2 linked regions of the Neodiprion lecontei genome follow. The protein of the gene in region 1 purifies or fractionates together with the protein of each later gene. This does not show direct contact. Links are inferred from orthologs where the notes say so. Each region holds a gene or a part of one and is shown on either strand. Other genes may lie near its edges. The genes, in order: serine/threonine-protein kinase Warts and scaffold protein salvador.

The links.
Region 2: the proteins of serine/threonine-protein kinase Warts (region 1) and scaffold protein salvador purify together in Homo sapiens (affinity purification with western blotting; 3 studies listed by BioGRID). This does not show direct contact. The link is inferred for Neodiprion lecontei from reciprocal best matches to the Homo sapiens genes LATS1 and SAV1.

The regions. Positions count from the first base shown.
Region 1 is NC_060260.1:181,117-185,050, reverse strand, and holds the start of serine/threonine-protein kinase Warts, read right to left. Parts: upstream 2,407-3,934; 5' UTR 1,737-2,406; intron 1,569-1,736; 5' UTR 1,133-1,568; intron 1-1,132. Other genes in the region: uncharacterized protein LOC107221828, read left to right, coding at 3,259-3,260, 3,365-3,603, 3,703-3,804. UniProt on the Homo sapiens protein: Negative regulator of YAP1 in the Hippo signaling pathway that plays a pivotal role in organ size control and tumor suppression by restricting proliferation and promoting apoptosis.
Region 2 is NC_060263.1:10,383,495-10,387,428, forward strand, and holds the start of scaffold protein salvador, read right to left. Parts: upstream 2,310-3,934; 5' UTR 1,981-2,309; coding exon 1,890-1,980; intron 1,761-1,889; coding exon 1,687-1,760; intron 1,454-1,686; coding exon 1,326-1,453; intron 966-1,325; coding exon 738-965; intron 626-737; coding exon 404-625; intron 303-403; coding exon 1-302. UniProt on the Homo sapiens protein: Regulator of STK3/MST2 and STK4/MST1 in the Hippo signaling pathway which plays a pivotal role in organ size control and tumor suppression by restricting proliferation and promoting apoptosis.

The sequences.
Region 1 (3,934 bases):
GGTTTTATTTATGATATAACAGACCCAAAAGAATCATACAACATTAGGGGTTTTCTCTCGAGCGTGTATTTTATGGAAGAAATGGAATAAAATTTTTGACCGATCATTCAATTGAACAGTAGAGTTAATGATTCTCGAACTTGTCACAAGTAATGACAGACGTATGCAAGATTCACGATATCCTCGAGTTTCATACACAGCTGTGGCATAATTTCATATGCAACTTACATTTTTAATTTCATTCTAGTAAAATTTTTAATCATAAAAGCGATGGACATGGTAAATAAATCATTATAGCATCTAACAAGATGCTTGCTCTCAGGTGCTAAGAATTGATGATATAATTTGTCAGTTTAAACCTGTTCAACAACCTGACAAAACAACACCAGCATGCATGTATGTGCACAAATGGTATAGAAAAAATTTAAATAAAGTAATTACTATATGAGATCAAAGTAAAGAGGCTAATAGGACTTTCAAATGGTTATAGACATAACGCTATGGATATTCGCATAGAAAGTGACTGAACACGAGTCACGCTGAGGTTACACTAGAGTATGGTAAGATAAGGATATGCTTTGCCTCTGTTATACAACCGCTCGATTTTATATGAATTGTTATATTCCGTTGCTATCTGAAACTCGAGCACACACATGAGGTTTGAATCATGCTTCTAGTTCCTATCGCCCTCAGAAGGTTAGAATACGAGTTTCACTTGACTTTGTCAAAGTTTAGGATGTTTTAGTAGGAATGGTATATGACTCCTGTGTGACTTCAGCATGACTTGCATGCTGTTATTTTGTCATATCAATATCAAAAGCTAAATATAAATAGAACTTGTTAAACTTCGATTAGATTTACACTAAGGACACATCATGAATTAAATATTAAATGATGAGTGTTATACTTGTTGCCGAGGTAAAATGTGTAAAACTTAATCATGAATTTTCGTGTACACAAAATCCATAATGAAAATATATATTCTCTCCTGCGATGCTTTGGTCTCCAGACGAAGAGTACTACAACTCCTAACGGAAGTAATGACAATGATGATACTGACGATGATGATGACGCTAATAAGAATAAGAATGGTAGATTTTATAAACAATGATGTAGAGTTACTAATGCTTACCAAACAAATAAGGCTAGCTAGTATTGTAATTCCTTAATGAAATCCTTCGCTGACATGGCAGTATTCAACACCAATGGTTTATTTTTTAGCACTGTTAAGAGGCACAATGGTAAGAAATTCTTGTGAACCAGTTTGTTGCCGATCACTGTACGTGGAATTTGGTACTTGAATTCACTTCACTGAACCAACTGTCAATGCTGTGCACTCTTGAAAATTTTAAAGGCTTACGATAAGATTCATTTGGAGGGTTGTAATTATTTGCAAAACTGGCTGCACCAAAGAAAATCAATCTCCAATAGGAGTGGCAAGTTACAGAGCGCAAGTTGTGCACACCATTGTAGCTATATATATTATTTAATTTTCTAGTTGAATACAGTTTCAAAACGTTGAGGGGATATTATTTCACTGACGAGTACGAAGTGCTAATATTTTATTACTGAAATGAAACAATTTCAATAAATTGTATATAAAGACATACATACACCACACTACCGAATTAGAGACTCGGTAATTTGCGAATTGATCGCCGATAACGACTAATTGTTTATGCCGCTTGTTAGTAGCCGTGCGTAGATTCTTTTGTAAAATATATAAAACCTCTTACTCAAGAATATCTTGATATAAATTCCTTTAAACCGAGAGTGATGCCAGCTGAGGATCGAGAGCATATTCCGTAGTCACATTATAATAGGGTTTATAGACCGGACCAGAAATAATTATAGAACGTTAGAGCAAACACTTTACAACGAAGAAAATAATTGAAACTGAGAAAACTTCGTCGAAATCATAAAAGCGATAACAAAGAAAGATACAGCCGTAAATTACTAAAGTGGCTGGCAGCCATTTTGAAGTGCCACATTCCTTCACTGACTTGACAATCTTTTTCACAATTTCTAGTACGTATATACATACACAAATTGTATATCAGCATTCCGTATTACAAATATTCATTGCAGTCGAAGTTGCAGTTATTTTTAACTATTTATAAGAACGATTCTTCGAAGGGCTTAACTCTATATCCAACAAATATGAAAGATTCATTGAACTGGCATCAATATCGGCGCTACTTTCGAATCATTTAAGGCTGGTAAGCTATTCCATTTGAATTCAACGGTTTAACTGGGTATCGGTTGTAAATCATAGATTTACGCATGCTCTGGATGAAATTAAATAGTATGCATTGGCAGATGCATCAAATTTACGAAAATAGGTATCCAATTCATGAAAGATAGAGACCGTGAGGGGCCTGGAGGAGCCGAACTCCACAGGCGTTGACTTTACAATACGCTCATGTCAGAGATTACCAACCTCGGATTACATCGCGTGACAGCTTTTTGGTGCACCAAGTTCGGGTCTGCTCGGGGGTAACTTCAGGTTTCTGCATTATCGTCGCTCTTACCATGGTTACTCGGTGAACCACACACAACTGGGTTTGTTCGTGCTAGCAACACTTTCTACACGTTTTACACCTTCGATCACTATATATTGTTAAAGTAGGAAAGTATGTGAAGGTGCAGGAAGCATTGGTAAAAAAAAAAAACTTCCTACCATTACCGATTTAATCATCATTGTAATCCTCATGAGTGAGTCGATAAGTGTGGGCACTGCTGTTACCGCCGGACTCTTGCTTGATTTCAAAAGATTACCGTCTGTGTTTACCAATCATTTACCAATGTGAGACTACGTATGTATGTATGTACATGCAATGCCTATGCATACTGCATTGCTCTCCGGACAGAGTGAAGCCCATGTGGACCCCTTGATCTGGGCCTCGAGCAGGCTAAGATAATATATACATTATTTTAGTTGGTGGAAGGTACCCGCATCTAAGATAATATATATTATCTTACCCGTATCGCCCTATTGCAGCGCCTCTAGCGGCTCAGAGGAAAAATATAACGCGTACGTGTAGCGTTAGTGAAGATGTGATTGCGTTAGTATTGTCGGTGTGATGACGCGTTGCTATAATCTTTGGGTAAACGTTGGATAACAAACAAACATTTTTCCAAAGATGCCAATTTATTGTGACGTCAAATTATGTTACAATTACAAATATATCAAAAATCAAAGCATAAATAATGGAGGACGAGTGACGTTTTTCGCGTTACCAAAAAAAGAGCAACTGTATGTAAGTATGAATATATAACCTCGCTTTCACGGGAATGTTGTGGGTCCCCACGTATCTTCATATATTATGAAAACAAATGTACATCATGATTTTTCATAATACAGGCGCAAAAAATGGCATGAGTTCATCCGAGCCAAGAATCCGAACCGGCGAGATTTTCGTGTATGTAACAAACACTTTGAGCCAAAATATATCTGGAAAAAATATCCACGATGTTTACTAACGTGTGATGCAGTTCCAACATTGAATGGACCTGTTGACGGTAATCATCGCCAAGAACAGCTGCATACAGAGTCTAAGGATCTGCAAATTTCGGCTCAAACAAGCTGTGTTGCGATAGCAGGTAAAACAAATCAGTATCATTGGCTCTTGCAAACAAATGCAAGCAATTGTTTTTGCATTTACATTAAAATTTTACTTATATTGAAAAATTTAATTCCAGACCAACCACACGTCAGCGGAATTCCATCGGATGATGTCATACCCTCAAAAGATGGACCTTCGACTACGCTGTATAAGGAAAACAAGAACCCAGATATTCGTGGTAAGATTGTAAAAAAGTATTGATAGGAAAATCAGCGAATGAATTTGTACATACATTTAATTTAATTAACTGGAAGTTCACTCAAAATTCAAGAGCAGGAATTTTCTGCAAATTGTACTGTTAGTTAAAA
Region 2 (3,934 bases), on another chromosome or scaffold:
ACTCTTCGTATCGCATTACAACTTCTTCTAGTTCTTGTTTGTACAGTCTGGTGAGCATCGCATTAAAACAATCCAATTCAGGAAGACGAAAGAGCTCCCAGCGTAATTTCCGGTCCAAAGCAACAGATGCTCTGCTGTATACATAAAGCCAATGTGGGATTTCTTCATTCAGATAAGGATTTGCTGGAACTAGAACGCTATGGGAATGAAAATGCGTGTGGCGTGGTGGTGAAACAACACGAACGGCTTGCATTTCCAAAGGATAACATGGATGTTCGTATTGTGCTTGTCTTGTGATGTGACTGAAAAAGACAAGGAAATATATTCATCGATGTTTTCCCATGCGACACCTTACATTGTTGCTTTCGCAAGTTAATATCATAAAAAATGCACAACAACTTACTTCACATAATATACTCCGTACTCTGGAGATTCTATTCTCTCCCAACCTGTCGGTAGACCCTCTTTTTCAAGTGGATGAGACCAGTGCGTAGTTTTAGTATTGTGATCAATATAGTATTTTCTACCACGCAGAGTGAAGTCGACCGACCAGCCTGGTGGCAGTGGTAACTCTTCTGGTGGTTCCCCTCTTGAACTCGGTCTCTCCGAGTGCCTCCTATTGTACCTGAATAAGTATGAGAACTACATAAGCAATGAAATTGCATAGTGATACAGGAGTACAAAATAATTTACACAACATGTTATTGATTATTGACTAAGGTACCAAATTATTCTACCCAGAGTTTTGGCAATACGGAGTCTGATTATAATCTTCATAACCTAAATCAATTTCAGAAGGCAGGTAAGGTAATTGAGGTGTTTGAATCCTATCCAAATGATATTCAGAACCAGCATATTGGTTCACATAGGTGTGCGAAATTGCAGGGGACAATTCAGGATGATACATCGGAGTCGGAGTACGTGAGGTTGTCCCGTCGCTGGAAGTAACAGAAAGGCTGGCAAATCTGTTGAAAAATGATTAGTTAGTGTACAAATAGGAATAACAAAAATCGAACAGAGACTGTTCAAAGTAAGCATCGACATGTGAAAAATGTTGCTCTTCGTTGAGACTTGTGTAGACCAAACAATGTCGATAATATCTATTCAATTATGAGATGAAATTTTATAATCAACCGTTGTGTAGGAAGCCTCTTACTAACATGTAGTTGGCTGTAAGAAAAGTACCAAATGTTGGCACATTCTAACTATGCAACAAGTGATCTTATTGCAGGTAGAAAGAAAAGTAATGGAAAAATAAATATTTTCATAGAATTATGCAGGATCAACAAAAATCAAATACATTTCTAGTATTGGAATATGCATACCTTTGAGCTAAATCTGGAACCGAGCTATTGGGTGTATATTTGCCCTCGTGACTTCCTAATCCAACTGCGCTCATAGTTGTTTTTGTGTTTCCAAATTTTTGGACCATACTTGGCTGTTGAACTACAGGCTATAAAAAGGACAGACATGATAGGTTTGTTTATACACTTTGAACCGGTCAGACATGTTTACCAACGCCATCGTGAGAAAACTGAAAAGCAGCTCGTGAGATACTACGAATGAGTTATTCTTTTATATTATCTCGCTCATAGTATTTTTATACAAATGAATACCCAACTCTTGCTTTTTCATTTTCATGTGCATACTCACAGCTTTGATTGAGCAACAATCAGAAACTCTTACCGCAGACGATGGTATAGATGATTGATTAAATCTTCTTATTCTTCTGACTGGTTCGGTTGTCCATACGTTGATAACTAAGTAGTCAATTTAACATTATATAAACTTATAGGAGTACGTTATTCAAAGAGTAGTTTATAGACTTCTAAGAATGCTTGCTGGTCGTTTTCGCGCAGCAAATAGTGATAAAGCAATTGAATACTCACTAGGCATTTCAGGGGGTGTTTCTTTTTTAACATATTTCCCAACGACGCCTTCTTTAATTGTACGCAAATCTTTGTTTTTGCGTGACAGCATATTTATCGTACACTTATGAACGTTGCAAATTGAATTAACTTACATGAAGCAGATTTACATTGAAAGGACTTATATCGAATGTGTCGTTTACATATTATTTCGACCGTGTGGGTATGTGTTAATACTGGACTGGGCTTTCATAATATACAAATGTCTGTAACGAGGTGAAATTTTTCAACATTTTGATAGTCACTACTTTAGGACGACATGAATAACTAAAAATTATCGAGGGAATGAACCCCGTTTCCACTTCAATATGTCAAATCGTGAACTGACAACTACTTCGGATAACCACACAGTAACGCGCAGTCCGTCTGTTACACCCTTTACCCTTAAGGTGGGATTTCATGTGCAGGAAAAAGCATCAGCAGTTTAGTAACTTACTAGAAAAATACTAACATCTGTTTGGTGATTTGCCGCAGCAGCAGCGCTGCTCATAAAAAAATGTCTTGCGTTTGTTGCTCTGTTGTTCGGAAGAATGAACTTCAAGTGGCGTAACTTGCGCCGGATGTGCTAGTAACTTTCAGTGAATTACTTTGATGCTGCCCATAAAATCCCAGCCTGTAGGGCATTCTTATAATTAGAGCAGATGTTGCACCACGGAGCAATATAAATGAAGCATTGACTGAAGATATACAAACTGCGTCAACGCCGCGGCTATTGAAATAACTTACAATCTGGCTGGGAGATTGCGTTCTCATTGATTACAAATCAACCTTTGTAAACATTCATTTGAACTATTTTCAAATGATTAATCCCCATATTTTCGTAGTAGTGATTACAAAACATGGCATCAAGTTCGACAATCACTATCCTCGTTTCGTGTCATTCCCAGCGAATATTAAGACTGGCCAGGTAACAATTAGTACAATATTAATATACATGTACGAGAAAGATTGGAATATCCTTTACTAATGTTTTCTATACTGCTGTTCTGGCACTTTGGAATATTCGAAACAGCTCGAAGCTGACGAAAAAAAAATTCCTTGCTTTTTCACACCCCCGAATCTGGACGTAATTACATACTAATTTCAGCCATATTTGGCAAATCGGTCTTCTGTTTGTAGGCTACCTACAAAGATACGAAATATCAGATTATAAAGATTATTGAGTTCCATAAGTGATATGAATTTTAAGAGGAGGAATAAAGTCGAAAATAAACTAAGCTTTTTCGTGATTGGAAGAATCAATTGATTCTTTATCAACTTTTTGCAGTGATACAGAGGTGTATACAAAATACACAAAGCTACTCATTTCATCACAAATAGTTTAATATTCATTCTCTTCTTTATGCGGAGGTTTATTTCAGAGAAAGCGTACTTTCCTTTAACATCAGTTTTTTCACACAGATCGACACTAAGTGATGTAATTGGTCGGATATAACGAAATAGGTTAATGAAATCAGTTAATGTCTTGTTGTGTCAGAAAAGCGACATAAACGGAAAGTGACCAGTGTCTATCTCTTTCTCCAGAACTCCCACTATCGCAGTGATCGTTCCAGTATTATTTCAGTGTAGCGCACAATATGCTCTAAAAAGAATGCAATTTCGAAAATTTTCAGGTAAGTTGAAAAATTAACGACGGAGCCAGGAATCGAACCTGGTATCTAGAGATGCTTTGCCGGAGACTTACTCCACTAGACCACCTAGCCGTCCTGACTACAATGTCATTAATTTCTCTCATCACCTGTATTCGAAATTGTTTTTGTTTCCGTGTGCCGTGATATATGCTCTAAGGGCTGCCGTCCCATGGTCCAGAATTTATACCGTCTCCACGAACCCGGAATCCAGTGACTTATCAAGCCCTAATCAGAGGCGTTCTGGCTCCACTGATTTACGGGATGCATTCTTCCTACGGTCCCATGATACGGAATTGACACGCATGGAACGATCGCCTGCGAATTGCGATCGTTCCTTTTAGGTCCTGAATTGGAAATGCGCTACTGTGATTAGGT